Linked DNA regions of Callithrix jacchus. The protein of the gene in region 5 interacts with the protein of the main gene of each other region in a pairwise test. Links are inferred from orthologs where the notes say so. Each region holds a gene or a part of one and is shown on either strand. Other genes may lie near its edges.

Region 1 (4,476 bases), on a different chromosome or scaffold from region 5:
AAACTCCATCTCAAAAACAAAACAAAACAAAAGAAAACAAAAAACCCCCACAAAACCCATACTCTTTCCTCTATACCAGGGTTTCTCAATCTTGGCAATACCCCTTGTTTGGGGACAGATAATTCTTTGGGAGAAGACCCATCCTGTACATGGTAAGGTGGTTAGCAACATCCCTGGCCCCTACCTACCAGACACCTGTCACATCCTTTCCCCCATCCCAAATTGTGATACCCAAGAATGTCTCTAAACATAGCCATGGCCTCCATGTTTGGATCCCTTCCACGAACACTCCCTTTGTGGGAGCAATCTTCCTCTCTCCTGGATTTCCCATCTGGGGTTCCCTTCCACAGTCTCTCGTGGAAGCCTGTGTTCCCCTCCTAAACTCCATCTCTCTCTATTCCTTTCCACTCAGTGTGGAAGCTGCTTTCCTCTCCTGGATTCCATCTTTCTGGATTCTCTCACTCAGTGTGAGAGTTAGCTGTTTCTCTCTCTGTCTCTAAACAAACAAAAAATAAATAAACACAGCCATATGTAAGCTGGGGACCAAACCTGGTCCCTGTGAAGAACCACTGCTGACCCTGTTCTGTGACAGGCAATCACAGGACATGCTGGCACTAAGAGAGCTTTCTTCCTGGCACTCTCCCCTCATGGGTCCTCCTGTGGCTTCCAAGGCAGGAAAGTTTGTTTACTCTTCTGTTAATCAACTTCTTGCAGTTACTGCTTTTGCTGCATTTCCTGCTGCAGCACTGCAACGCCCTTCCTCCACTGTTCAAATGCTGACCTTCCTTCACCACCTGGCCCAGGTCCCCTGCCTCCAAGAAGTCCCCATGGCTACCCCACCTAAGGAGCAGTGTCTCAAAGTTAACTCATTTTCTTATTAGGATTCAGACAGTCACCTATCCACAAACACAAAGGCAAATCTCAGCTAGAGGGGTCCCTGGACATCATCTAGGCACTTAATGGGCATTTATGAAGCACTCCTGTAGGCCCACCATTGGAGACAAAGACATGAAACTGAAAAGATGCCCACCCTTATTTTATAAGGGAAAGAAGATTTAAAGGGGTAAATGCTCTTTTCGAAATCTCATTTGCTCAGGAAGGAAAGTCCATATTCTGCCCCACTTTCCACAGAGAGCAGCTTGGCTGGGGGCAGCAGTCACATCAAGTTAAGGCTGGCTGGTGCATCACTGTGGCACCTGCTTCCCTCAGTCTTCCTAACTGTAACTTGGGCAGCATGGTTTAGCGCTTAAGAGTGTGGGCTTTGGAGTTAGAGACCAATAATCAATTCTTACTGTCCCTACTCACTACTGTGTGACCCTAAGTTACTTGACCTCTTGACCCGAGTTTCTCCAACTATAAAGGGAGAGACCTCTGGACTCAGTAAAGTGGCATCAGGTGCAGCATTAAATGCTGGCTCATGGTAGAGGCTTACTCCCCTCTTGGTCCCCTTGTGGTGAAACTTCCTCAGAGGGTCCCTCACTGTCAGCTCCACTCCTTCACCTCCTGTCCTCACTTCAGCCCATCTCCACTGCTCCGATGGGTTACCTACCACACCTCCTCCCTGCTACCCCGGCAAAGGCCTAGTCTCTATGCTTATCTTACAAAATGGATCACTTCCTCCTCCTAGAAAAAAATCTTCTCTTGGGTGCCATGATACCACATCCACCTGGTTTTTCTTCTGTTTTTTTTCTGGACTTTTTCTTGGTCTTTTTTGCTGGCACTTTCTTGTCAACTCAATCTACAAAAATTTGGTGCCTGAAGCGTGGAACCTGGCTTCTCTTCTCTCTTAAATCTTACGCTACATAATCTCATCCTACCCAATCCACTTACCAATAATTTCTAAATTCTTTAGATCAGCCCTGACCTTTTCTGTAAGTATCAGACTGGTAATATCTAACTGCCTATTTGGTAGCTGCACTTCAAATATCTAAAACTTAAGTTGCCTTAAGAAGATTTCATAATTATTTCTCATGTCCCCAATCTATCCCAGAGTGATTTAGTACATGCCAGCATAATACACTTGGTTACTTAAGCCACAACCAAAAATCTACGATGAAGTAATCTTTGACCACTTATTTCCATCTTTTCTCAAATTCTGCCCTGCCAGTTCCACCTTCAATACACTTCTTGACCCATCTACTTCTATTCCCCTCCATTCCCACTACCACAGTCTAAGCCACAATGATCTTTCACCTCCTGACTACTACTGGTCTAACTTGCTTCCTCTTTCACCCCTAAGACCTGGAATCTATAATGCAGCCAGAGATGCTGTGGGCACACAAAACAGACCATGCCCCAAAGCTAAGCCCAACTCCTCAGCCAGGTCCACAAGGAAGGCCTCTCACGATCGTGCCGCTGCAACTGCATACTTCTGCCACTGGCCCCAGCACCCCCTACAGCGGCCCCCTGCCATGTGTCAAACACATTAACCCTGTGTCTTTCTTTACTTGCAGCTCTTTCTGCCTTCAGCACCCTTCCGCAGACCTCCGCCTGACTGAATACTTTCCCCAATGCCCCACCCCTCCCAATCCTCGTGGCACTTCCCACTTCTGACGTTTCCTTGTTTGCTCACGTGTTTACTGCCCGCCCCAACCCCACCGCGGGAAGCAGCCTCTCCGAGGGCAGGGCCTTGTCCGATTCCGGCCTGGGTCCCGCGCCCAGCACGTCGCAGGTGCTCAGTGAATACCAGATGAACCGGCGTGGGGCAGTGCCCTACAGGAAGGCGCTTGGAGACCTCTGCCCCCTCCTCAGACCGCGGAACTGAGGTCCGGGGAGGGACAGGGGCGTGACGTGCCCCATGCCAACGCGCAGAGCCCGGGCGGAGAGCCCGCTTCCCGGCTCCAACCCCGGCCACCCAGCCCGAGACCTCGCCCGGCCGCGCGGCCACTCACCTCGGCCTGGGGAACTCCCGGCCGGAATCTTCCCACCGGAAGTGTGAGACCGGATGACGCAGCCGAACCGCGGCAGCGTCGGTAACTTCCGCCGGAAGCTGCAGGGGCTGGGCGGAGCCGGGGAGAAAAGGTGGGGGCGGGGCATCTTTGGTGGTCGGGTCCTTTCGAGGTACAGCACAGTTTAGTCCTCCGCGAAGTCCCTCTGGCGCAGAGCACAGCCGTGTATTATAATTGTTTGCACCTCTCCTGCGCTCAAGCAAGGGCTTGCTTTCGAACCCCGGTACCTGCTAGTGTTCTGCACACAGTGGGCATCCAAAAACGGTCACTTGTTTACTTTTACTGAACAAATTGTTTTTCTTATGTCCAGTCCAGTGCTGGGCAACCATGGAATGAACCACGAAGATAAGTATCTCATGGGCTTTATCTTCTGGGCGCTCAAGCCAGCTGGGGACATTACAATGTAGGCGATCCAGAAGTAATAAGAAACATTTGTGAAATATTTTCTATATGAAACTTTCTAAGAATTATTTCAATTTCAATAGGTTGAGTAGGGAGAGAGCATCCCAGATAGAGGAGATGGCAGAATCCTAAAGGAGGGCGAGAAAGCTCTAGCCGTGCCTGGGGCACAGGTTTATAACTGTGGTGGTTCAAAAGTAGCCAAGGGGCAGGTTGCAGTGGCCCCAAAATGCCAGCCTAGGGAGTTCATATTTTCATCTTGCAGGATGGATGCAAAGGGCAGCATTTGCAGCCAAGATCATTAGGGCAGGGCAAGCTAGGGTTGCACTTTCAGACCCAGTTTTGTGCTTTTTGCCCTCCTCCAGCCTCCTCCTGGGTTCTCTGGCAAAGACCAGCTGCAAACATGGATCCTTGCAAGTGACTCAGCTGGGCTCCCTGGCCCCTCTGAACAGAAGGCTCAAGGCCAGAGTGTAAGCGGTGCTTTGTGCAGACTGCTGCCGTCACTGCCGCCAGCTGGCATCCTGCAGGCATTAGTTCATTCAATGCTTACCAAGCACCTACAATGGTACCCATCACTGCCCAAGGTCTTGGCTTTATTCAGCCCTCAAGGCTTGTATTGCATGCACTTTCTATACCTTTTGAAAGAGCTTTTCCTCACACCCTTCTCTCTCAGAGGCAAGAGAAAGTAATCTATTTTTATCACCACCCTCATTCAAGCCTCCCAGCTACCAAGGCCAAGGTTTGGAGCAACAGCCTAAAACACCAGCTGGAAGGCTGGGCACTAAGCATAGGCAACACACAGGGTAAAGAGCATGTCTTCTTTGTAAGGCACAAGTACTCGAGTTGTTGCCTGGCTGTGTCCCTGGCAGGGAGAAGAGGCAGGATGTGTTCATGGGGGTGTACAGTATGCCTTAGGCTGCTGTACCCAGCAGGGTTGAGCAGAAACGCTTTGTCCCAGTACAACAATCTGTGAGCATACTTCACCAGCAGGTATGTGTCTGTGTGTGTGTATGTGTGGGAGGAGTGAATGAGGAGGAGGAAGGGACTCTTGGAAGGTGACTAAGGGCTCCAGCTGGAGCTCTCCAGAGTCTCCCAGACACACTGCGATGAAGTCTTGTCAAGGTGAAAT
Region 2 (3,709 bases), on a different chromosome or scaffold from region 5:
AGATGGGGCTATCTAATTTAGTAAAACTAAGAGCAAGAAAAGAAATTGGTTAAATAGGAAACCTTAACTTGGACTTTGAGACTTTCACCACATTAATGGTGGTGAAATTAATGTGGTGAAAGACTGTAGCAATCACTGCTTTTTCTGATAGTGGTTTAAAAAGACTGCTTTGATCTTACAATAAAAACGTTTTGGATTATTCTTCTGTGTTTATCTAAAATCAGTGGTATGCATTGAAGACCCATCACATGGTCCATAAATTCCCAATGTTTGAAAACACTACTTTCTCTACTATACTACTTTCCTTTCATAGGAAGCGATCATTTTTTCCTGTGCATGTTAGAGAAAAAGACAACCACGGAAATTTTGTTTGCCCTTATTAATCTTCTCACATTAGAAAAGCACTTCATTATCTGCATTTATGTTGCCTCATTTTCAAAAACATTGGTCTGATTTCAGTATGAATAACACTTATAAAAAACAATGTATCAGGGTGGGCGTGGTGGCTCACGCCTATAATCCCAGCACTTTGGGAGGTGGAGACGGAAGGAACAGGAGGTCAGGAGATTGAGACCATCCTGGCCAACATGGTAAAACCCGTCTAAAAACAAACAAAGAAAAAAACAGAAACAAAACCAATGTATCTAATAATTATTTCCAATTTTTCCTGAATTCCTCTGCCCCCAAAGCCATTCTTTCCTTATGACCTTCCCAGAATCCAAGCTGCCTTCCTACACCTCTTGGTTACAGCCAAGGGTTAACTGGCATGGTATAAACACCAAGCCAAGAGATTGACACCAATTTGTAACTGTATGGCTGTAATGGAACAGGCTCATTCAACCTCAGCCTTAGTTATACTGCTGCTAAAGAAGCAGTCTTATACTGCTTCTTATAAGCAGTCTGCTATACTTTTTTTTCCCATGCTAGGCCTGTTCTCCAAGATCTTTGGTTATTTCTTAACTGTCACTTCATAGAAAAGGGACAGCAGTATTCATGAAAGAAAGCACACATATTGGATTCCAAAAATAAATTTAACTTCATATCTTATTAAATCTTTAATGTCTCTACTTTTATTACTTAACAGGAAGAATTAAGGAGAAGTATTAGAATATACTACTGCTTTCTTTCTCTTATACCACCTGTCTCCAGAGAATTAAGCTAAGTCAGCTTTTTATTATAGCTTTGTTATTCAATTATATCCACACAAGTATGCAAGTTCTCTGTCAAATAAAGACAGTATACAGACAAATGGATAAATTTGGGGATATATTAAGGATACTGTTAGCAAAACAAATAAATGTCTCTGACATTCAGAGAGGAAACAAGAGAAAGAGAATATAGAAATTCACACACACACACCCCCACAAAACCAAACAGGTGGGTCATTTTAAAATAAACTTGAGACCATAAAGCTACATAAATATATCTGTGTTGTTTTTAAAGATATTCTTACCCAACTTTGGAAAAACTATTAGGTATTCAGCATTGCACTGAGGACATGCCACTCTGGCTGTACTGTTTCCTCTTTGCTTTTCATCCACCCAGCGTTGAAGACAGGCCTGGTGAACCCATTTTGTAGATCCTCTGCACCTGCATGGTCTCACCCATTCAGCTGTTCTATCATCTTCATCAGTAGCAAAACAAACCCAGCAACTTCTGTAAATTAAAAGATAAAATGACAACATTTATCTATACGTCTCCAGCCTCCTCCATACTGCAGCTCTTACTTAATGGGATAAGCCTACTATGTTATATTACATAATCTCTGTCCTATATTAAAAGACTATGGAGACAAAACAACCAATACATTCCCACTAGAGCAGTTTCTACCTTTTCTGTTTTTCCTTGTCTTCCTCTACAGAATTTTACATTTTCTGAATTTTGTTTTTATGTAATCTCTTCTATCTTTTCAGTATTTCTTCACCTTCTCTAATGAACCAGAGTGTAAGAAGACATACCTCAAGGTGCTTTTGTTTTATAAGACCTAATAATTCTTTGAGGAATAGTAAGCACAGTAATATTTTAAATTCAGCGTTCTCCCCAGTTCAGCACCACCAATCTCTTGCGCTTGAAAAAACAAAGTATTACACAAGTGATTTTACATATGGTCTCATTCCATTTTCAGCTGAGGGGAAAAAAAAACCCATTTCTCTTTCTGGTAAAGTATAAATATATGGGGAAAAATATTACATTTTCAAAAAAGCATAAAGGAGATAAAGATATCAAGTTTTTTTTAGGATAGCAATATGATAAATTTGGGTGTACATGCTTGAAATCTGAAATCTACAAGTATCAACTCTGGGATGCTTATATTAATAAAAATAAAATTCTATCGAGATGGGTAATTTTAAAACATTTTCCCACTTTGCTTTTAAGGGTACTTCATGAAGTCTAATTTTTTTCTTATGGAATAAGGTTGCAATTCCTCAGTTTTTCTCCCAATTAACACAAGTTTTGACATCGATTTCCATTAGGGCAAATACAGTTAATTCAATGAGACCATTCTCTCCTTCCCTCCATTAAAATATGTACTAGTGGAAACAACTGCTAATTAAAGCATGTTACCTACTGTGCACTTTTCACTTAATTGGATAAGTGGCTTCTATCAGAACAACTAGCTTAACTATGCTCAGTGGGAAAGACTATATAGTCAGGTATTACAGATGGGTGAGGTCTCCAGTCCTTGTGGAACAATGTGAATTTCAATTGTGTGATCCAATTATAAATTTTCAATTCTAACAGGAAAAAAGTTGAACTAAATCCATGGCAACGATATTTAAAATTCAGTCAGGTTTCATAAGATCTAAGCAAAATTAGAACGCAGGTAGCATTTGTTTAGCATTCTGACCCTTCTGACCCACTTTAGCTAAGCTGTCTGGGCATTCACACTGTCTTATGATTGTCCAAAAATACCCTGTTTTTTTTGAGATGGAGTCTCACTGTTACCTAGGCTGGAGTGCAATGGCGCGATTTCGGCTCACTGCAACCTCTGCCTCCCGGATTCAAGCAATTCTCTGCTTAAGCCTCCCGAGCAGCTGGGATTACAGGTGTCCACCACCACGCCAGGCTAATTTTTGTATTTTTAGTAGAGATGGGATTTCATCAGCTTGGCCAGGCTGGTCTTGAACTCCTGACCTCATGATCCACCTGCTTCGGCCTCCCAAAGAATATTTTCTTTTTTAAAAAAAAATAATCGTTATAAAATATACATAAAATCTATTTTAGCCATTTTTTAGGTTTATAATTCAGTGGCAGTAAGTATATTCATACTGTTGTGCAACCACCAAGACTACCCATGGTAGGACTGGGTGTTAATCTATGATTTTTGCATAAAACTTCAATTGCTAAGTATACTAGCACATAGACTGGTTGAGATGTTGCTAGTATATATTTTTCCCTACAACTGAGGTAACTTTGTGAACATATTTGTATACATCTACAAAATGGAATATATCATTTTAGCAACAAAATATTGACAGAATATCTAGACTTTTCATTCTCATACTTTATTTCAACACATATATAGCTAAGTATGGGTACGTCAGCATAACTAATCGGTATTAAGGTGAATCAAATTTTAAATTAATTCAATTTCAGTCAATAGAAAAATAAAATACATCTACTCATACAATCTTAGTACTAGGTTGAATCAACTGAAATAGTCTACATTAATCTGTTTTTGACCTAGAGAAATGATAGGTCAAATTTC
Region 3 (4,299 bases), on a different chromosome or scaffold from region 5:
GACTTAAAGCAAGGAAAAGGATATTCTCACAGCCTTCACTGCAAAGAGGATTCCTCCAAGCTTCAGCGCAGAAACAAAAGTGAAAGCAAAAGTCAGCAGCCAGAAGCATCCACATCCCAAGTCAGTAGTCCCCCATACCACATCCCCAGTCAGAAGGCAACTGAGCTTCTGAAACTTTCCTGGTACCCATGGAGACAATGCTTCTCATTCCCTTGACTCCCACCTTAATTTGGGACTGGGGGATGATAATCCACGCTAAAGCTCCTCACACTATGACCTCTCCCAGCCCAAGAGGTCTGCGGGCTTTATAGCCAGCCCTGCAGAGGGAGGGAGGAACATTGACCAGAAACACATCCTACTAAAATAGGAGCCCCCCCAAAGCTCCAGCTGCCTTCCACCTCCAGTCTTCCCATCCCTCACGCAGACAGGGAAACCCCCAGGACTCTGACATCTGGAGCCAGAGAGCCGGAAAGCTGCAGGTGGAGGGGCTTGAGTCCTGCCAATATCTCAGACACTTGCTCACTACTGGCAGAAGACCAGGCTGGCAGTTTGGGCCTCACACAGAACCCCTGAATCTCCCCCTTGTCCAGCAGTCATGGGTGAGGGCCATATATTACTCTCTGCTTCCTGTCTGGGCCTCCCATCCAGCTCCCCCATTCATTCCCACCGCCCCCACCAACCCACAGGCCAGCCTCTCTTAGGAGTCTTCTTGAGAATCCTTGCCAACTTCCAGGCAGCCAGGATTATCTTCTTAACGTATGGATGGGATCAGACGTTTAAGAAGATAATGTCTTCTTATCTTCTGCTTAGAGAACTTGAATGAAAGGGACATCTTTCTCCGTGGTGTTCACCTAGGACACCTAGGACAGTGCCTGGCCCACAGAAGGTTCTCAGTCAACATCTGTTGAATGATTCCAAGATAGCCCCCACCTGTCCAGTCCAGCTTATTCCAGACTTTCCATTCCCTTTACTTTTCCCCACCCTCCACTGCCTGAGCACCTTCACCAGCCCAGCACAGCCAGTGTGCCTTCCTATCTCCGTGCCTTTGCCTGTGCTGTTCCGTCGCCCAGCCACCCTTCCTGCCGTGTCCCCTGGGGAGACTCTAGTTTCCTGAGGAATATTCCAATATTCTTTTCTTCACAGGACCTCCTGAGTTAGTTCCTTTCTTCTGTTCTTGCCTAAGTCCCGTGATGTAACTTACTATACAGTACTTCATGGGCTAGGTATGAATACCCCACCTTGCCCTTGGAGGTTCTCATTCCATTTTACAGATGAAGAACCTGAGGCACAGCCAGAAAGTGGTGTGACCTAACTGTATTGCCAATTCTGTAACACTTGTCATGATTATCTCTGACTCTGTCACTAGGCTGGAGGCTCCCTGAGGCCCCTGGGCCCTGGATCACGGGGGCAGGCCTCAAGACACCCCATCAGGCAGCTGTCAGCTCAGACACCATGAGGAGCAGATGCACCACCAGCCTCCTCTCTTTCTCTTTCTTTGGCCTTTTCTCCCAGTCCGGGGGGTATCTCTCACAATCGGTGGAGGGAGATATTTGGAGAGACAGCGGCTCTGTCCTAACAGGTCAGGATTTCCGGAGTGTGAAAGCTGTTCACGGTCCCAGGGCCCACAGTTCCCTAGACAAGCTGTTCTCCAGGTAACCCATTCAAAAGGAAAGCCAGAAGCCTGCGCTAGAGGGGCAATCCCTCCACCCGCTGCCCTACCTCCGCAGGCTCTGGTCGCGGCCCCGCCCACCTCGTCCCCGCCCACCCGCTCCTGCAGCGCCCGGGTTCCCAGCACCCAGATCTCCAGCGCTGCTGGGAAGGACCCGCAGCCCCACGCACCGTCACAAACACCTCGGAGCGCTGTGCAGGGCACCCCACGGCTGCTCCCTGGGGAAACCGTGCAGGGGTCCAGGTCTCTGGCACCCATCCCTGGTCGGGAAAGAGACCATCATCCTGTAATGCAGACCTGGCGCGCCCGGCCACACACCTCCCGTTTGTGCGCTGACTTGAGATCTGATTTGGATTCTGTTCTCCACTAAGTCCGGTAACCTAACTTACTGCCGAGTGCTTGCTGGGTGCTGGGCATGAATGTCCCGACGCACCCTGGGACGTTATCATGTCCCCTCCACAGATGAAGAAACCGATGCGCTCATGGAGGAAGGTCTCAAGTTTCAATCCACTTTGCTCACGTCCGATTCTTTAACCTCGTGTTTACTGGTAGCGACACACACACACACACACGAATCTAAATCCCTAAAAGGACACACACACAAACACGAATCTAAATCCCTAAAAGGCCACGACTTCCGTAGAGGAGTAAGAGATGCGGGAGCAAAGCGCCAAGGTGGTTTCCCGAGACCTACTGGGAAGTTCTGCTCCTAACCACGCACTGAAGGTACCTCTGGCGAGGTCAAGGGTTCAAGGCCCGCCGGGAGGAGGGCACCTGTCCCCACCAACAGGGGGCCCCCAAGACCAGCTGCCTTTCCCAGGCCAGCTGGTCGGGCGCGGTGACGGAAGGCGAGAGTGTCCCGCACTGGCGGGGCGCGGTCGCTGAGGGTGCGGGGTGCGGAGTCCTCCCGGTGGTCGACCCCAGGCGGGAAGCGCTCGGCGGACGGACGGGCGACCCAGACGGCTCTCGACCCCCTTCCCCGGCCCTGAGGGGAACCCACAGCACTCCGCGGGGCGCGGCGGGCGCCAGGCGCGGCGGGTCAGACTCACCCGGGAGGCGGCGAGTCCGGCTCCGTTTCGGCCGGGCGGCCCGGGGCTGGGGGCTTCGCGACCCCCGCGGCGCCCCGGCCGGCTTACTCCGGGGGCGCCGCGATCGCGTGGCTGGAGTTCGGGGGATTCTCAGCCGAGGGAACGCGGCGGCGGAGAGAGCGCACTGCCAGCTCAGGGACCGGGATGGGGACGCAGGAAGCGCGGCTCCGGAGCGCCGGCGTGCGGGAGGGTGGGACCGCGGGAGGCGGAGGGCGGCGCCGGCCGGGAGCAGCCTCCAGCCCGGAGAAGCACCGCCCACCGGCCGACCCTCCCTCGCGGCCCTCGGCACCACCCCCCAGCCCGAGGCGCGGGATCGCCACTGCTCAGGGCGGGCGCCCACTCCCTAGCGTCCGCCGGGGGAGTGCGCAGTGCGTCTTGGGGGACTGAGCCTAAGTTCTTCCCGACGAGTTGGACGAGAGAGGATCGGGAGAAAATAGAGCCCTGATGCCCCCTCCTCCCTAGGGCCCAGGGAATCGATATGCCGGCGTGTGCGCGCGCGTGTGTGTGACGGGTGGTGGTCTGGGGATGTCTTAAGCCAGGAGTCCCAGATTTTAGGGGTTTAAGTAGAGCTGGGAGACCCGTTTCCTTCCCAGACCAGGCGCAGACGCGGAGGTACAGCTCCACCAGCCGCCGCGCGGCGCCTTTACCTGGCGAGACACTCACCTCTCCCCTTTCCTGGGGAGGCCGCCGCCTACCTCTCCACCTTCTGCCCTGGGCTGGTGCCCGGCGAGGTGAGTGACGGGCAGAGGTAGGGAAGGAGGAAGCGAGTTTTTTAAAAACCGAGTCAGCTCACGCCCTCGGCCAGGGTCTCCACCCGCGGCCTGGTCCCTAGGGCGCCCTCGGGACCGCACGCCTGAGTCCCGGCCCAGGTGGGGCCCATTCCGGGTTCCTGCGCGCGGGCACTGGATGGGGTCGCGTTGCGCCGGAGCCACCCTTGCTGAGGGCTCATCCCCAGGTTTGCCGAGAACTTTCTCGGCGAGGCGCCGGCTGGTGTTCTACCCCGCGAGTGGCAGGCGGGCAGCCAGTCTTTGCTCGAATCCCTGGAGGCCGCGAGCTGCTGCCGAGTCCTGGCTCCGGGGAGGGCAAACCCGAACTCGGCGCGGACGTCTCTTACCCGTGGCTCTGCTTCCGCCCCTTGGAGATTTGCCCTCAGAACCGCGTGGCTGTGGCGCCCGAACTAGGGTGAGCTAGGTTTAGCCAGACCACCAAAAAACGTGGATTCAAAACACAGAGGGAAGAGCCAGCCCCATTCCCTCTCTCAATCTTAGATTTTTATTTTTATTTTTAATTCCGAGAGAGGTCAGGCCGGGTCCCCTTTTTAGGTGAGCGTCCAGCCCTTTGAAGTTCAAACACCGAGAAACCTTTAGGCAGCTGGCGGGCGTCGCAGGATCGAGCCGAGGACTGAAGGCGCCTCCTACCGGGAATCCACCGCCTCCAGACGAAAATAGGCTGCAGTCAAGTTCACTTCCAAAAGCGGAATTCATGGGTACATAAGGTGTCCACGGTGTCCACGTGTGTATACCTGCCGAGTTGTAACATGTG
Region 4 (4,242 bases), on a different chromosome or scaffold from region 5:
CTTTCTGCATGGTCTACTCTAGTCAGTTTATTTATGAGATGGAGTCTCACTCTGTTGCCCAGGCTGGAATGAGGTGGCATGATCTCTGCTCACTGCAACCTCCACCTCCATGTTCATGCAATTCTTCCTCAGCCTCCTGAGCAGCTGGGACTACAGGTGCATGGCACCACACTCAGCTAATTTTTGTATTTTTAGTAGAGAAGAGGTTTCACCATATTGGCCAGGCTGGTCTCAAACTCCTGACTTCATGATCCACCTGTCTTGGTCTCCCAAAGTGCTGAGATTACAGGCGTTGAGCAACCATGCCTGGCCAAGACTTCTCTTTTTTTAGAGACAGAGTCTTGCTAGAGTGCAGTGGCGCAATCTCGGCTCACTCCAACCTTGGCCTTCAGGGTTCAAGCGATTCTCCCGGCTCAGCCTCCTGAGTAGCTGGGATTACAAGAACACACCATCATGCCCAGCTAATCTTTGTATTTTTGTAGAAACAGGGTTTTGCCATGTTGGGTAGGCTGGTCTTGAACTCCTAACCTCAAGTGATCGGCTCACCTCGGTCTCCCAAAGTGCTGGGATTATAGGCATGAGCCACCTCGCTGGGCCAAGATTTCTCTTTTAATCCCTATTCCAGTATAGGCAAAACCCCCCCTTTCCCTTGGTTCCCCTCAGATACATGAGATAAACAGCATTTATAAAAAGAATTTTGGGCCGGGTACGGTGGCTCAAACCTGTAATCCCAGCACTGTGGGAGACCGAGATGGGTGGATCACGAGGTCAAGAGATCGAAACCATCCTGGTCAACACGGTGAAACCCCGTCTCTACTAAAAATACAAAAAATTAGCTGGGCATGGTGGTGCGTGCCTGTGATCCCAGCTACTCAGGAGGCTGAAGCAGAAGAATTGCCTGAACCCAGGAGGTGGAGGTTGCGGCGAGCTGAGATCGCGCCATTGCACTCCAGTCTGGGTAACAAGAGTGAAACTCCGTCTCAAAAAATAAATAAATAAATAAAAAGAATTTTAATAGATACTCCAGAATCAATGGGAAAAAAACAGCGAGTATCACAGGAATAGTTCATGTCCTAGAATAGGAGTTTCTTTTTTTCCTTTTTTTTTTTTTTTTAATCGTTAAAGCTCTTTAGATTCAGATTTTTTTTTTTTCAGACAGGGTTTCACCGGGCTGGTCTCCAACTCCTGACCTCAGGTGATCCACCCAACTCAGCCTCCCAAAATGCTGGGATTACAGGCGTGAGCCACCATATCCATCCCTAGAATAGGAGTTGCTAATGATACAATGATTTCACTCAAACCCCAGGGAGACAGAACAACATCAGACTGCCTTCCTCCCAAGTCTCTGCTAAGGTAGCAGCTTCTGATTTCAGGACACAAAATCAGAGACTTGCCAGGCTCAAGGCCTCCACCCTCAAGCAAAGCAGTCTGGATGACCCACCTTCCATCACAGCCAAAAGTCAGGATGACGGACTGAATAAGTATACTTGCCCAGGCCCCAACCCCTCAAGAGTGGGCTTGAGTCCCTCAGGTAAAAGCCTTCTCTCACATCTGTCAAAAGCCCCCCACAAGCCACAGGTGAATCCCACGTGTATACAGAGCAACGAAGCCAAAGACTCACTCCCCCAAGTCATGAATCCCTCACCTCCTTGAGCCGGGCAATAGCATCTCCTGTCTCTGGGTGCCCCATCTCATCCTCAGTCAGCACCCTAACGATCTGGGAGAAGTGCTGAACGAAATCCTGCTTTTCTTGGGCATAAACATCTGATTTCTGGTCTCCATTCATTCTGAGGGAGGAGCAAAGGGCTCTGAGGAGAAGAAGAACAAGTCAGAAACCTGACCAGCTGCTCCCCTCCCCAAGGCCCCTCACCCCAACCACACTCACCGAGGCTCCTCTGTCCATGCTTGGCACCAGCAGCGGGCACTGTGCCAGGCCAGGACTGGGTACCCGACCACCAAGGAGGGCCGCCGTAGGGAACCCAGCCACCTCTCCCGGGGTGCCCAGTAGGGGGCTGGCAGCAGGAAGACCCCCACAGATCTCAACCAGCGGGACAAGGGCATCGTGGGAGTGGCATAGGGAGGGGGCGCCAAGCACTCCCTGCAGGGGCAAGCACCAAAGGCAGAGGCATGGTGGCAGCTCCCCAGATCACTCCCACCCCAGCCTTAGCCCAGAGTGCCCCTCCCTCTTGTGGAATGTGCTTAGGGACAATTGGAGGAGGGATATGCAGGAAACAAAAAGTAGGGCTGGGTGACTGAGACCCAACTAATTGCCACTTATCAACAGGCTAGAACTCAATGCCTTCAAGACGGCGTCCACAGGCTGGGTAAGGACGTGGTACACAGTAAAGTACCCCAGGAGTAGGGGCTGAAAGGACCCTTAAGTCATCCTATTTTACACAAGTCAAACTGAGGCTCTAGGAGGTAGAAAGATCGTAGAGGCAGAGCCAAATCTAGAACCCAGGTCTCCCCTGGGAGATGGAGAGGGGTGCCCAGGGTCTGCGCTACCTCCCAAGGAGAGGAGAAGCATTGGGGCCGGAACCCATGGGTGCTGCGTCCATATGGTCTGGGGTGCTGGAACCGCGCGTCCCGAGACTCACAGGAAGCGCTAGGACTGCGCAGATAGGGTCGGAGCAACTCTGGACGGGAGAGAAGGGCTCGCAGCAAAGGAGTATACCGGGGTCCGGGCATACTGGGGGTTTCAGGAAAGCACAAGAGCAGAGTTTGGAAGTCTCTGCACCCCTAGAGAAGGCCAGCCAGTCTAGCCCACCGACCTCAAAACGGAGAAACTCTGACACAGCAGGCTGAGCTTCCCGTGCCTCACAATATTGTTACAGAAGCAAAGCACGGTCTCGGATCCCTTCCTCCAAGGCCCAGCACACGTCCTGTCTCACCTGTTCCTGGTTGCGGGTTCCTGCTCGGTCCCGCTAGTTGGCGGGTACTCCTAAAAGCAGAATCAATTCCGCGCTCGGCTCTATGGGTCGAGTAGTTCTCGCTTTCCCCACACTATCGGCAGAAATGCATAATTAGACTACAACTCCCAGCGTGCCGCGGGAGGGACAGACAACGCCAATCTGGCGTGGTCTGGATGGGCGGAGACCAGCCGAACAGATTGGCTCCTGGCCCTCGTGTGAGCATGGCGCACTGTGACGGACGACCAATGGAAGGGCTGAAGCCTAGAGGGCTTGGCTGGAGGTATCACTGCTCGAAGCGAGCCAGGTGGGGAACGCCCCAGCTCTGGCTCTGACTGCCTCCTTTACTACAATTTTCGACATCTTCCTGGGCAGCTGAATGGCCTGTTAGCAAAACGCAGGAGGACTAGCTTTGTCACTTATTATTTCTCCAACTCAGGCAAATCATTTAATATCTCCTCAGTTAACTTCCTTGAAACTAGCTTTCCTCATCTGTTGAATGAGGGTGATAATACCACGAGGTCATGTGTTTAAAGTGCTTTAAGGGCTTAAAGATCAACCTTGGCCGGGCGCGGTGGCTCACGCCTGTAATCCCAACACTTTGGACGGCCGAGGCGGGCGGATCACCTGAGGTCAGGAATTCGAGACCAGCCTGGCCAACGTGGCAAAACCCCGTCTCTACTAAAAATACAAAAATTAGCCGGAGTGGGGTGGCTCATTCCTGTTGCAGGTTTCATTTTTCTCCTGCAAATCTGTATAAAAAACATTCTTGACAGCATAGGTATCCACCTCCTGAAGTTCCCATTACATCCTTTAACCAAATTAATTTATTCTCAAGCTTCAGACGATCATGCAACAAAGGCTCCAGCCAGTTCCTGGTGAAGACACCACCCCAGGCCATCAAGGAGCTACCCTTCCTCCACTAGACAGAGCAGGGTGAGAGTTCAGTTATCCCAATAGGTAGGGACTACCCTCTAAGCCAGCATGAAGCAGTTATAGAATAAAGACCACTGGTTCCTCTACCTTCCATAAATAGGGATCACATCTCTCAGTGGGGAGATGAGGCAGGAAAATAGGGTCTGGAGGCAGGGAACATAAGGCCGATTCACACTTGAGCTATGACCAGAAATATACTCTCCACAGGGCGTTGGTCAAGTAAATGACTAACTTTACTTCACCCTCTTCATTTACATAGGGTGTACCCCAGATAGAGGGTATTTAAACTCTCAAAAATTCTGTAACAGGGCCTTTGAGCCCTTTATACTCAGGCCTGCTTCCACACTGTGGAGTATACTTTCATTTTCAATAAATCCTTTCATTCCTTTTTTGCTTT
Region 5 (4,258 bases):
CTGTATTCTTAGTTACTTGTAAATGTATTCCCCACTACTATGAGCTTCTTGGAATCAGAGACCTAGTGAAGGCCAGGCACCAGACCTAGCATTTGAGAGCTGCCCAGTTAGAAATCAAGTGTAAGGCAAGGGAAAAAAAGTGAGAAGGCATTAAATGAGGGGCACAAGAAGGCAGTGGTTTGGAGGGAATCTTACAAATTCTGTTCCTCCAGAAGCTGTACTTTGTTCTGAAGCTCCATATTCTGGGCTGTGTATTTCAAGACCCTGGGGGAAATAAAGATATGGGTATATGACCTGTATCCTCCCTTCAAAAATCTAACAACTGAGTCTCTCTCCCTTTCATACCTGCTCTCTAAACCCCCAACATACACCTTCTTCTTCCTGCGGCTCTCTTGAGCAGATCTTTTATTTCGAATCTTCCTTCGCACACGTTTCAGAATTTGTTCCTCCATCTGAAAGCAAACAGGGAAAGGGATACCATGAGAGGGACTCTAGACCAAGGAGTTGAAAGGCAACTGAGATCAATCTCTTTCCAATGCAGAAATCTCTTCTACAGCTTCTCTGACCAATAGGCATTCAGTTTCTTTCTGAATGCCTCCACGGACCAGGTGTTAACCCTAACAAGCCAGACCATTTTAAACAATTAAAAAAAAAAATTGGTCAGGCAATATGCAGCCAACGTGGCTTATGCCTGTAATCCCAATACCTTAGGGAGCTAAGGCAGGAGGACTGCTTGAGCCCAGGAGTTTGAGACCAGCCTGAACAACATATTGAAATCTTGTCTCTACTAAAAATAAAAAATTAGCTGGGTGTGGTAGCACACACCTGTGGTCCCACTACTCAGGAGGCTGAGGCAGGAGGATGGCTTGAGCCTGAGAGGTCAAAGCTGTAGTGAGCCATGATCTTGCCACTATACTCCAACCTGGGCAATAAAGAAAGAACCTGTCTTTAAACAAAACTTTCTTATCCTGAACCAACAGCTGCCTCCTTATAATTTCTATCCATTAGACTTACCTAGTATTTCTGGGGCCAAATAGAATGAACTGTGTTAGCTATTTTAAGGCACTTAACATTTCCTCAGAGCTTAAAAAAAAGAAAAAAAAACTTACACAAAATTTTTAACATCATCTTAGGATAGCCTGCATCCTCTTAATATCTGTCAAAGATGGTCTCAAAATTGGACATTAAGATGTGCTCTACCCAGTATAAAGGAAAGCAAGAGAGTCACTTATAGAGGCAATAACTCTATTGCTACAGTCTCCAAATTCCATTCACTTTCCTAGTAGCCACATCACACTGCCGATTCATCTTGTACTTTGAAGAAATTAAAATTCTGCACTTTGGTAGCTCCAGGTGGGTAGATCACTTGAGCCCAGGAGTTCAAGACCAGCCTGGCAACAAGGTAAAACTCCATCTCTACTAAAAATACCAGAAAAGATTTTGCTGAGCAGGGTAGTATGCACCTGTAGTCTCAGCTACTTGGGAGGCTGAGGTGGGAGAATCACCTAAGCCCAGAAAGTCAAAGCTGCAGTTAGCCATGATCACACCACTGTACTTCAGCCTGGGCAACAGAGCAAGACCCTGTCAAAAAGAAAAAATTCCTGTAACCTTTTTATTAATGAGCACTGATTTCATCATAGTATCACAGTACTCTGCTTGTGAAGTTGCTGCTCATTGCTTAAAACTTAAAACTCAGGATTTTACATTTATTCATGTCCTGCTTAGTCCACCCCTGTTGAACTCTAAACATTTTTACCATTCAGCAAGAGGTAGACTACTATCAAGCCAATGAAGTGTCAAGGCCCTTCACTTACACAGTCCTTTCCAAGGCCCAATACTAAGTTACATTGATGATTTTTTTTTTAGGCAGAACACCAAAATTTGTATAAGTAAGCCCAACAAATACGAGTATCTGCCCTTGCATCTAGCACATTAGGTACCTGCCCCAACTTCTTATTAGCAACAAATCTGCTAATTTTCTCAACTCAATCCTTTTTTAAAGTTATTGATATAAAGTTAACAAAACTGGCCTACTTGGGACTCTTACTCCCTTTCAGCCTTTGCTCAACCAATGAGAGTCTTACCTTAGTGAGAGGAAGTGTCTCAGGCAGAATAAGCCCCTCCTTCTCCAATAGACTCTTCTCCTCATCTGTCAGTACCAACCTAACAGTCTCCTAGGGTAACAAGAAAGTGGGCAGCAGTTGCATGGGGATGTCAGAGAGGAATGGGGAATCCTGCCCCACCTGGGGAATGTGAGAGTAATCTTCCTGAAAATCAAGTCAAGTACCTGCTCTGCCATTTCCTCCACATGCTGTGTAGTCATCTGGGTCTCCTCTTTTCCAAAGCTCTCACTCTCTGCAAAAGGGAAAGTATGAATAGCCAGGCCCATGAATCCTCTCCTCCCAGCAAACTTACTTCAGACTCACCTAGATCAACAGAGACAGCTTCCTGTGGGAGGGAGTAGGTGTGGTCGTGGTGGACAAGGCAGGGGTTGGAGGAGCTGAGAACGTTCAACGATGCTGGGGGACTCAGCAGTGAGCTCAGCAAATCATCTAACTCCCAGTCACTCGGTACCTGCGCAGGGTTCCAATGAACAGGCCTTGACCTATAACCATCACCTGACCTCATGGACATCCCACGCTTTCCCCAGTCGCAATCCCAACCCACCTCAGAAAGCAGCAGCTCCCAGTCCAGTGGGGCCCTGATGGCCTCGTGCGCCGTCCCCAAATCTCCACTTGCCTCTAGCAGGAAGCCCAGCAGGTCTTCGTCACCAGGATCCAATTCTAGCTCCATTTGAGACATCTACGTAAAGGGTGGGCCACGGGGCCCCAACGTCCGAAGCCCAGACACGAGTCCCAGATCAGCTGTCGGCCTTTGGCACTTTTCCACCGCCCCTCTACGGCCGGGCTTCCCCGCCGGGGCTATCCGTAGCCCTCTCCGGACCCACCTCCCAGGCTCAATTCTCCTCAGCCTCCAACACAGCGAAAGTGACGCACCCGGCCCCGTGGCATTCTGGGACTTGGAGTTCTCTCCAACTGGAAGGCGGCCTGGGTGCCGCGCCACGTCCCAAGGGCTATGCAAATACAGGGGACGGCCCTGCCGTCGCCTCGCACCCCGAGGGCGGAGGCTCCGGGGCTCCGGCTCCGCCTTCTCCCCCAGGCTGGAAAAATTAAGAGTTCAGGCCTAAAAGGAAGCTCAGGCGTCATCCGGGCGTCGTCTCAGCATTGCGCCGTACCCTCGCTTCCTGCCGGGGAGTGGCTGCCGGGCTTCGGCGGCTCCTGAGCATCGAGACCGGGGCCAGAGCAGCTTCCTGCCGGCCCCACGACCATAGAGCGCGAGCCCAGGGCGCCGCCCGCGGGTGGGGGACGTTCCTGGGACGGAAGTGGCCGAGGGAGTGTCGAAGGGAAGGCGAGGCCGGAGCCAGAGGGCGACCCGAGAAGCCTCAGGGCTGCGGGCCGGCGGGCAGGGCGCAGAGCCAGGCAGCGCAGGTAGGTTGGACCGGACCGGGCTGGGCCGGGCGGGGGCCTTAGGGTGGGGCCGCGGAACCTGGCCCTGGTGGCGGGCAGGCGGGGCCCTGCCTCTCCTTCGTGTCCGGTTCGGGTCCTATTAGTAGGAGAGGTCAGGGTCCAGCGCATCTCGACCTGGGCTTGGCGTGAAGTAGGCCGTCTTAGGGGAGACAGACCTTTCCTCGGAGCAGTCCTCTGCCTGGGATAGGCGTTGGGGAGCGTGAGGAGTCGGGTGGCAGCGGGGCGCAGGGCGGGGACGGGCTTTGGTGTTAGCTGATAGCGGGCATGTGGGTAGGAAAGCTTTGGGTGAGTTGCAGATTAGGTGGGATCGGTTTAGGAATGAGGGGTCGCTGTAGGAGTTAAAAGCTGGAGTTAAAACTTGAGTCAGTGTGAGTCAGGTCCGTTTTGGATAGGTAAGGTTTAGATTAAGGTCATTATTTTGTTTACTGGCATGGCCAGCATTCGTCATAATTTGAGTTCAGGATCGGGTTAAGGGTCAACAACAGGAATCAGGTTAGAAATCTGTTTGGGGGATTAAAGAACGTTGGCATGCTCACTATTAAGAATAAACAGTGAAAGGGTGAGTTAGGAATCAGTTTACAAATGAACTTTAGGCTTTGGGGTCAACATTTAGGGTTAACATCAGGGGATTTGGTGCTAAAGGTAAAACGTAGATCAGTGTTAGGGTTCAGGGATTGAATATGGGTCTTTGCTAGGAAAGAGATGAATGTCCAAGCCAGTACTGGGAATCA
Region 6 (3,709 bases), about 39 Mb from region 5:
GAAAGCAATGTAGCCACACATCTTAAAATACTTTTAACGATTAGACTCTTTGACCCGATAATGCCACACCTGAAAACAGATCTTAAGGAAATCATCATAAACACAGAAACAGTCTTAGCAGATAGATGCTTATCGCAGTTCGATTTATACCAGTTAAGAAATTAAGAAAACCATGATACATCCAGCTGAACGAATATTCCTATATTAAAAGTGATGTTAAAAATGCTTATATCATTACACTAAGTGAAAAAAGCAGGATACAAACTTATTCATAATGGTGATAGCTGTGTTAAAAGCAGGCTTTTAAAAAACGCCCGCAGACAGGAAGCACACACATCAGAAGAGTAGGAGGCAGCTGGCTTCAAGTAACACTGTTCCATCTTCCAAATCATAGTTAATGAATTTATAGTATGGCTAGCATTTTTAAAGTACAGTTGTTTGAACTCCGAAGGACATGACACTGCGGAAGTTGAGGTCTGTGATCCTGTGTTCTTCGTGATTTAGACAGAGCAGAAGACGGCTCCAGGGCTAAGCACCAGGCTTCTGCTCTTACCATCAAAACTACTGGGCCTCTCTGAAGGGAAAGCAAGCTTGCACCTGCACCTCTTTCGAAAGGTAACCTGGACAGTGATAAATGCTGCTGCCGCCAGCCTCCTGTCCACCAGGGGCGTTATTCTAGGAGCTTCCATGTATTACGCTTATCCTGAAATTAGTTCCATCGTACCACTCAGAGGAGACGTATAACAGATTGATTTCGTTGTTAGAAATGGGAAAAACTTTGACAAGCACATTTAGAGGGCAACGACATTTTCTGCTCTACAACCTGCTTCTCCTCTCTCATGTCAGGACACCTACATCAGCCCACTCTTCAGAAACACATCCTACAGACCTACTATCATCTGGTTAACAACACCCAGTGGATGAACCAAAGTTCCAGACGCTTCCCTTTTCTCAGCTGCACGGAATGCTGCCACGCATGCTCAAACACCTTCCAGTGACTGCAGCACAGCGACAGCTGAGTTCCCGGTGCAGAACCACTGGGGCAGGTTTGGCAGCAATCAGCAATCACTGCACAAAGGCCGTCCGGGTTTACACTTCTACACAGAGGAGACGCATACACTGCCCACCCTCACCTGACCTGTGGGTCACATTTTGTCAGTGGGTTTTGGGGAACTGTGTCACAGGACCCTGCCCAGCAGCCCCTCACCCGCAGTAGAAGACAGCCTTCTGCCAGGAACGCAGCCGGTCCACCTTCTCCGCCACCGTGTTTGCAAACTCGACGAACTGGCAGCAGAAGGGCGCCTCGCACAGCAACAAGATGAAGGCATTCATACTGCAGGGAGCAGGGCAGGAGAAAAGCATCGACTGACAATCCCAGGGGACGGGGGTGCACAGTGCCAGTGCCACATGAATGCCACCTCCCTCGCCCTCCTGCCCCCATCCCTCCTCCTCTGGGAAGGTGCCTGGCTGCTCCAGGGCACCTGCTTATACCCACCAAAGAGCCTCTGCTGAACACTCCAGCACTCCCCAGCTGCTCCTGCACACCCATCTCCCCAGCTGAACTCAACACTCCTAGAGGAAGCCCCCGGGCTTTTGCTTCCCTTTATCCTCCTGTGTGTGAGACGGAGGAGAGTACCCCACATCATGGCACTGCTGTAAGGCTGAGGCAGGGTGCCCACAGATGGAGCACCTGGCAGCTCTGTCTGCTGTTAATTCACATCGCCACGGCCACCAGCATCCATCAGTGGCATCAGCATCAGGAAGGCTGCCCCACCAGGGAGGCAGAGAGCTGGAGCCAGGCAGTCTCAAAACAGTCACGGAGGGCTGCCCACATACCCAATGCCACCAGCCCAAGGCCCAGGGACACCCAGGGGAAGCCCACGCTGGGAGGAAGAACTTTAACAAGTCCTTGCATCCGGCCCCGTGTTTGGGGTGGGAACAGCTAAGCCACTGGTGACAGAGAGTGTCTGCCGTGGTCTTGGTATTCTCAATGTGTGGGTAACAGTCAGTTACCAGACACTGAGCCAGGCCCTTCTGTCTGTCCCCAAGCCTAGGAGAAATGTGCCATCATTACACCTGTGTAACAGACATGCAGCTCAGGACACCCCAGAGCCACCCTAAACCCAGGGCAGAGACTCTCTTCACAACTTTTAACCACTGCATCCGGCCCCAAGCCTCCCACACACCAGGCCTCCAAGCATCAACTCACTCTGTGCTGGGCCAGCCCTACCACTGCAAACTCGGCCAGGCTCTGATGCCACCCCGAGGCTGGGCCCAGCGCCTCTCCTCTGTCCATCCCCATTGCTATCCACCACTGGCAAACACAGGCATTGGTGACCCCACAACAGCAAGCCCCCAAGGCTCTCCACTAGCCATAGGTCACTGAGGAAGGGACCTGAATCTCGTCCATCTCAGTACCCCTCAAGACCAAGCCCCACGAGGACACTCATAAATTCTTGGTACACAGCCACTTCTCATGTGCCCTCACTGCACCTTCCCTTCCGATGGGATGGTGCCACCTGGCAGGAGGCGGTCATGGAACGCACGTGATGGTGTTCTGACCACAGGTTCCCATGACCACTCTGACCTGCCTCTCCCACCCATATTTGGCACAGCCCCGAGCTAGAGCACCCTCTCCCAGTGGACCCTCCAACCCAGTCCTCAGCCAACCCCAACAAACAGCCTTCCCCACCCCCATCCTGGGAGCTCCCAGAGGGCAAGGGCCCCAGCTTAGTGGATTTGGCACCTGCAGTCTCAGTGGGTGCTCCAGGAATGTCTGGAGTACTGGATGGCCTCCTGCACTGGATGAAGGCCGGGGTGAGCATTCCCCAAACCCTGACCTCTCACTGGGAAACCGAACATGGTGGGGGTAGGAAGTAGGAGAAGACCCATGCTGTGGCCAGAAACCCATGAGCCCTGAGGCGCTCAGGTGGGAGCCAGTAACCATGGCAACCTCAAGGACACCAGCTCCTGCAGCCCCTGCCTCTCCTCCACCCCGCGGGGTGCCCCGAAGACCCCCAACCCGCAGGACCCCTGGGGTGGGACAGCCATGCACTACTCACATCATCCACACGCCGGCTGCAATGTCCAGAGGGTGGATGGTGATGCAGTTGAAGAGGCCAGAGATCGCACAAGCTTCAAACAAGAGACACGGCAGAAGTCAGTGGGAGGCAGGCAGAGCCCGCTGGCATGGCGGCCTGGGGAGATGACTGGAAAGCACCAGAGTCCCTGCGGATGCGCAGCACACAGTTCTCATGACACCCAGAAGCCTGCCCTCTATCATCTGAGACAGGTGGGGAGACACAGAGTGGTGCCATGGCTCGCCCCAGGCCCCAGAGCAAGGTGGCAGCAAGGTGGCAAGTTGATCTCACAGCTGGCCGGCTCTGGGCGCTGGGAAGGCTATGAGAGCATCTCGCCCTCTCTCCGCTCCAGGGCTCAGAGAAACTGGCCCTTTGACCCCAGCTGCGTCAGTGCACACCTCAAAGGGAGGTTAGGATTAAAGAGAGAATGTCCCTCAAGGATTCAGGCCAGTGCTCCCCCGAGACTCTGCCTTCAGTAAGGGTCACTTGTCACCATTCACAGGGCCGGCCACACAAGAAGTCCTCTGACTCAGAAAATATGGCTTGGATTTTGGTTGGGACAAGGGGTGCCTCTCTCAGAACAGAGATGGAAACCAGGTAAGAACAAGAGGCAGTTCCGGCTCTGACTT
Region 7 (4,405 bases), on a different chromosome or scaffold from region 5:
GTGCTGGGTCTATTGCTTGGAACGCTGTTTCCTCATCTCATCTGCTGCCCAGTCGTATTCTGACTTCTGACCATGCCTGAATGCCCCTCTTCTACGAGGGTCTCCTTACTCCTGTCTCGGTTCCCTCAGATGCCAGCTCCCTGCCTCCAACCTAGGCTTGGCCCCATAGACTAGGAGTACTTAGCTTTAAAATATTTATTTATTTGCTTATTTTGGAGACACCAGTTTCTCTGTCACCCAGGCTGGAGTGCAATGGCATGATCTCAACTCACTGCAACCTCCACCTCCCAGGCTCAAGCAATCTTCCTGCCTTAGCCTCCCAAGTAGCTGGGACTACAGGAGTACGTCACCACGACTAGCTAATTTTTTTGCTTTTTTGAGACAGAGTCTCGCTGTGTCGCCCAGGCATGATCTCGGTTCACTGCAACCTCCACCTCCTGGGTTCAAGCAATTCTCTGGCCTCAGCCTCCCAAATAGCTGGGACTACAGGTACCTGCCACCACATCTGGCTAATTTTTTGTACTTTTAGTAGAGATGGGATTTCACCGTGTTAGCCAGACTGGTCTCAAGCTCCTGACTTCAGGTGATCCACCCACCTCAGCCTCCCAAAGTGCTGGGATTACAAGTATGAGCCATGGAACCTGGCCACCACTTTTTTTTTCAGACGGAGTCTTGCTCTGTCACCCAGGCTGGACTACAGTGGTGTGATCTCAGCTCACTGCAACCTCCCCATCCTAGGTTCAAGCAATCCTCCTGCCTCAGCCTCCAGAGTAGCTGGGACTACAGGCATACTCCACTATGCCCGGATCATTTTTTGTGTTTTTAATAGAGATGGGGTTTCATCATGTTGGCCTGGCTGGTCTCGAACTCCTGACCTTGGGTGATGTGCCTCCGTCAGCACCCCAAAGTGCTGGGATTACAGTCATGAGCCACTGTGCCCACCAGGAGTGCCTAGCTTTGTTTCCTCTGGGGGCCACTTCCTCTGTCCTGGCTCTTCATCCAGGTGTAATTTGGTGATGCTCCCTTGGTGACATTCTCCCTGGCTGGGGAAGACCCTGTTCGCATCAGGCTGGGCATGGAGGCCACAGGGCAGCAAGGATACATGTCTTGTCCTGGCAGCTGGCCCTCAAGTCCTGTTGTGTCCATGGTGACTCACCTGCAGAGTCCTGTGGAAAGAATTATGTGGCATGAGGCCGGGCACAGTGGCTCATGCCTCTCATCCCAGCACTTTGGGAGACCGAGCTGGGCAGATCACCAGTGGTCAGGAGTTCAAGACCAGCCTGGCCAAAAAGATGAAACCCGTCTCCACTAAAAAGACAAAAAATTAGCCAGGTGTGGTGGTGGGTGCCTGTAGTCCCAGCAACTCGGGAGGTTGAGGCAGGAGAATCACTTGAACCTGGAAGGTGGAGGCTGCAGTGAGCTGAGATCATGTCACTGGACTCCAGCCTGAGCGACAAGAGGGAATCTCCAACTCAAAAAAACAAAAAAGGTAAGTGACATGAAGTCACCCCCTGAAGTCACCCTGTTTGTCTCATTCCTGAACCTGTGCCTTCTGATCTTAACCTCCTCACCTTCAGTTAGGGACCTGGGGAAATCCCATGACCTCTGAGCCTCAGTTTCCTCAACTACAAACTGCTAACAACAACAGCTCATATTTTGAAAGGTTGAGCTGATCCACATAAAGTGCTCAGAAAGGAACATATCATCCTCTTTAACAGCGAAGAAACTTACCTGTCTTGTAAGTTGCAAGCTAGGAGCCAAACCCCGCTCTTGGGCCAACTCTGGGGCTTAACCAGACACATTCCATTTTTGCCTTGTACCAAATTCCTATTCATCTTGCAAAGCCCTAGCCACAGTACCCTTGTCAGGCAGCCTTGTGTGATGGCCCAGGGAAGAGATTGCAGGACCCCCGTGGGTCCTGGTATCTGACGGTATTGTGGGTCTGGCTGCCTGCAAGCCAAGGGTTTCCCAGGGACCAGAGAAGGAGCCCTACCGTGCCTAGTAGCTCACTCCGCATCTCGCTGGTGTACCGTGCCCGTGACTGCAGATGCACTGTCTTCGTGGCGGGCACTCGCTCTCTGGCTGTGGTTGGCACACGGCCAGGGGCCAGGAATTGGTTGGCCAGTGCTTTCTCTGAGGAGGTGGTCTGCACAAATGTGGGAAGAGATGTCACTGGAGGGGCAGGTCCTGGGGACCAAGTGAGCAGTGGTGCGGTCTGAGCAGGCAGGGACACCCCTGCTCACCAGCTTCTCGGCCTGCAGCATCCCCTTCAGAAAATCCACCTTCCAGGAATATTCATTGATCACTTCAGAGGCCGGTTTGCTAGGAGCCAGGAAGAAGAAAAACACCTGTCCACGGTCCCCAGCTAAGGGAAGGGTCCCAGCTGGGACTGCGGTCCTGGGATGTCTCAACAGAACAGACACATGCTGATATGAAAGCCCTGAGGCTGCCTGCACTCACCTCGCGTGGACCTTCAGAGCCTGCAGCATGTCCTCCAGGGCTCCCACGTACTGGGGAGGAAAAGTGGATTCTCACCCGGGGGTCTTTCCCATGTCCTGCTCATTGGAGTCAGAGCGGGGCGGGGCCAGAACCGAGGCGGGGCCGACATATGGGGAGGGGTCAAGAGTAAAGGAGTCAGGGCCACTGGGGGGAGGGGCGGAGTCCCAGGGACAGGGGCGGAAGCTACAGGTAGACGTGGCAGGACTGACCGGAAAGGGCGCGGCCAGAGAGCCTCTTGGGGCTGGGGAGTTGGGCCGGATGGCTTCCAACTCTAGGAACCAGCCCTGCGTGAGTCGGACTCTATGCGGCAGTGCGAGATCCCCTCACCTTCTCCAGGCGCCACTCGTCCGGGTCTCGTTTCTCCGCTGCCATCGCCTCGCAGCGGGATAGTAGCCGCACCAGGTTCAGCTCCAGCCTTGATGCCGCCATTATTGCCAGGCCGTGTCCCGCCCCTTCCGCCGGCTCCATGTTAACGGAGGGCGGAAATGCCTTCACCTGGTCTTCCGGGCGGACGTGTTTCCCCTACTCCCGTTCGTTAGCCCATGTTTCTTTTGGGCGGAAGTAGTATCTTGTTTTGAGGCGGGGCGCTGGGCCAGGAGAGGGTGGCTCAGGGCTGTAATCCCAGCATTTTGGGAGGTGGAGGTTAGAACGGATCGCTTGAGACCGAGAGTTCGAGGCCAGTCCGGGCAACGTAGCGCTACCCTACCTCTATTTTAAAAAAATAGGAGAGGCACTACCCCACTCTTTCTTACTCATTCTTTTCCTCGAGAACGTGTTAACCCTTCGAGAATAATCGGAGGACACGTGCAATGTGCCCTCTTGTTCTGATATGCCTGCTGAAAGTACCTTCCCCACCTCCACTTCTGCCTAGATTCTCTGACGGAGGTGTTTCGCCTCCACGCGCCATTCCCAATTTCTGTTTTTTCTTTTTTTTTTGAGACGGAGTCTCGCTTCGTTGCCAGGCTGGAGTGCAGTGGCGCCATCTCGGTTCACTGCAACCTCCGCTTCCCAGGTTCAAGCTATTCTCCTCCCTCAGCCTCTCGAGTAGCTGGGATTACAGGTGCCTGCCATCACGCCCAGCTAATTTTTGCATTTTTAGTAGAGACGGGGTTTCACCATGTTGGCCAGGATGGTCTCAATCTCATGACCTCGTGATCCACTTGCTTCGGCCTCCCAAAGTGCTGGGATTACAGGTGCCAGGTACTGCTCCTGGCCCTATTTCTCTTGTAGGAGGGGCTCTAGCTTGGGATTTAGGAATCCAAGGCTTCCTCCACGTCAGAGGGGCTCGTCTGTATTGTTGTTACAAGTTTCCAGGTCGCAGCTCCAGCTCTGACTCCATCCCTGGCCCTGGGCGAGTTTAACTTCTTTGGATCCGTTTCTTCTCCGGGGGAAATGGACAATGTGTCAGTACCTGCCTCAAGGAGGACATGAGCCAACTTTGCCTGACACTGAGCAAGGTGGGGCTGGGTCCCTCCTAACGCCCAAACCCCCATGGAGAGAACTCCTTCCTAGCCCACCTCAGTACTGGGAAGCTGAGTATCCCTGCGCCTGCACTGCCACTCTTCTGGACTGACAGGGTGAGGATGGGGGCTTCACAGGGACTAGGGCCTGGCATGCAGCCCTCATCTTTTCCCACACTTTAGGTCATCTGTACCTTGTCACACCAGTGGGCCTGATGTCCTTGGAAGATACCATAGATGGCTCGGCAAGGTGGCTAACGCCTGTAACCCCAGAATTTAGGGAGGCTGAGGCGGGTGGATTATCTGAGGTCTGGAGTTCGAGATCAGCTTGGCCAACATGGTGAAACCCTGTCTCTACTTAAAATACAGAAATTAGCTGGGTGTGATGTTGGGAGCCTGTAATTCCAGCTACTTGGAAGGCTGAGGCAGGAGAATGACTTGAACCT

The links.
Region 1: the proteins of CREB3 (region 5) and SLC35H1 interact in a two-hybrid assay, tested with the Homo sapiens proteins (2 studies listed by BioGRID and IntAct). The link is inferred for Callithrix jacchus from reciprocal best matches to the Homo sapiens genes CREB3 and SLC35H1.
Region 2: the proteins of CREB3 (region 5) and MARCHF5 interact in a two-hybrid assay, tested with the Homo sapiens proteins (2 studies listed by BioGRID and IntAct). The two-hybrid records come from large-scale screens. The link is inferred for Callithrix jacchus from reciprocal best matches to the Homo sapiens genes CREB3 and MARCHF5.
Region 3: the proteins of CREB3 (region 5) and TMEM51 interact in a two-hybrid assay, tested with the Homo sapiens proteins (2 studies listed by BioGRID and IntAct). The two-hybrid records come from large-scale screens. The link is inferred for Callithrix jacchus from reciprocal best matches to the Homo sapiens genes CREB3 and TMEM51.
Region 4: the proteins of CREB3 (region 5) and FDPS interact in a two-hybrid assay, tested with the Homo sapiens proteins (2 studies listed by BioGRID and IntAct). The two-hybrid records come from large-scale screens. The link is inferred for Callithrix jacchus from reciprocal best matches to the Homo sapiens genes CREB3 and FDPS.
Region 6: the proteins of CREB3 (region 5) and CACFD1 interact in a two-hybrid assay, tested with the Homo sapiens proteins (2 studies listed by BioGRID and IntAct). The two-hybrid records come from large-scale screens. The link is inferred for Callithrix jacchus from reciprocal best matches to the Homo sapiens genes CREB3 and CACFD1.
Region 7: the proteins of CREB3 (region 5) and USE1 interact in a two-hybrid assay, tested with the Homo sapiens proteins (3 studies listed by BioGRID and IntAct). The link is inferred for Callithrix jacchus from reciprocal best matches to the Homo sapiens genes CREB3 and USE1.

Annotation. Positions count from the first base shown.
Region 1 is NC_133506.1:41,596,781-41,601,256, forward strand, and holds the start of SLC35H1 (solute carrier family 35 member C2), read right to left. Parts: upstream 2,950-4,476; 5' UTR 2,892-2,949; intron 1-2,891.
Region 2 is NC_133513.1:85,074,818-85,078,526, reverse strand, and holds part of MARCHF5 (E3 ubiquitin-protein ligase MARCHF5), read right to left. Parts: intron 1,657-3,709; coding exon 1,454-1,656; intron 1-1,453. UniProt on the Homo sapiens protein: Mitochondrial E3 ubiquitin-protein ligase that plays a crucial role in the control of mitochondrial morphology by acting as a positive regulator of mitochondrial fission and as an important regulator of immune response.
Region 3 is NC_133508.1:52,502,461-52,506,759, reverse strand, and holds the start of TMEM51 (transmembrane protein 51), read right to left. Parts: upstream 2,910-4,299; 5' UTR 2,719-2,909; intron 2,643-2,718; exon of another isoform or gene 1-2,642.
Region 4 is NC_133519.1:15,738,771-15,743,012, reverse strand, and holds the start of FDPS (farnesyl pyrophosphate synthase), read right to left. Parts: upstream 2,918-4,242; 5' UTR 2,772-2,917; intron 2,099-2,771; 5' UTR 2,062-2,098; coding exon 1,886-2,061; intron 1,809-1,885; coding exon 1,646-1,808; intron 430-1,645; exon of another isoform or gene 81-429; coding exon of another isoform or gene 51-80; intron 1-50. UniProt on the Homo sapiens protein: Key enzyme in isoprenoid biosynthesis which catalyzes the formation of farnesyl diphosphate (FPP), a precursor for several classes of essential metabolites including sterols, dolichols, carotenoids, and ubiquinones.
Region 5 is NC_133502.1:142,636,941-142,641,198, reverse strand, and holds the start of CREB3 (cyclic AMP-responsive element-binding protein 3), read right to left. Parts: upstream 2,993-4,258; 5' UTR 2,803-2,992; coding exon 2,668-2,802; intron 2,575-2,667; coding exon 2,427-2,574; intron 2,356-2,426; coding exon 2,288-2,355; intron 2,175-2,287; coding exon 2,085-2,174; intron 453-2,084; coding exon 346-452; intron 265-345; coding exon 196-264; intron 1-195. UniProt on the Homo sapiens protein: Endoplasmic reticulum (ER)-bound sequence-specific transcription factor that directly binds DNA and activates transcription. Plays a role in the unfolded protein response (UPR), promoting cell survival versus ER stress-induced apoptotic cell death.
Region 6 is NC_133502.1:182,067,699-182,071,407, reverse strand, and holds part of CACFD1 (calcium channel flower homolog), read right to left. Parts: intron 3,136-3,709; coding exon 3,063-3,135; intron 1,334-3,062; coding exon 1,208-1,333; intron 1-1,207. UniProt on the Homo sapiens protein: Transmembrane protein which mediates synaptic endocytosis and fitness-based cell culling.
Region 7 is NC_133523.1:15,817,922-15,822,326, reverse strand, and holds the start of USE1 (vesicle transport protein USE1), read right to left. Parts: upstream 2,943-4,405; 5' UTR 2,929-2,942; coding exon 2,827-2,928; intron 2,511-2,826; coding exon 2,461-2,510; intron 2,323-2,460; coding exon 2,244-2,322; intron 2,147-2,243; coding exon 1,994-2,146; intron 1,167-1,993; coding exon 1,157-1,166; intron 1-1,156.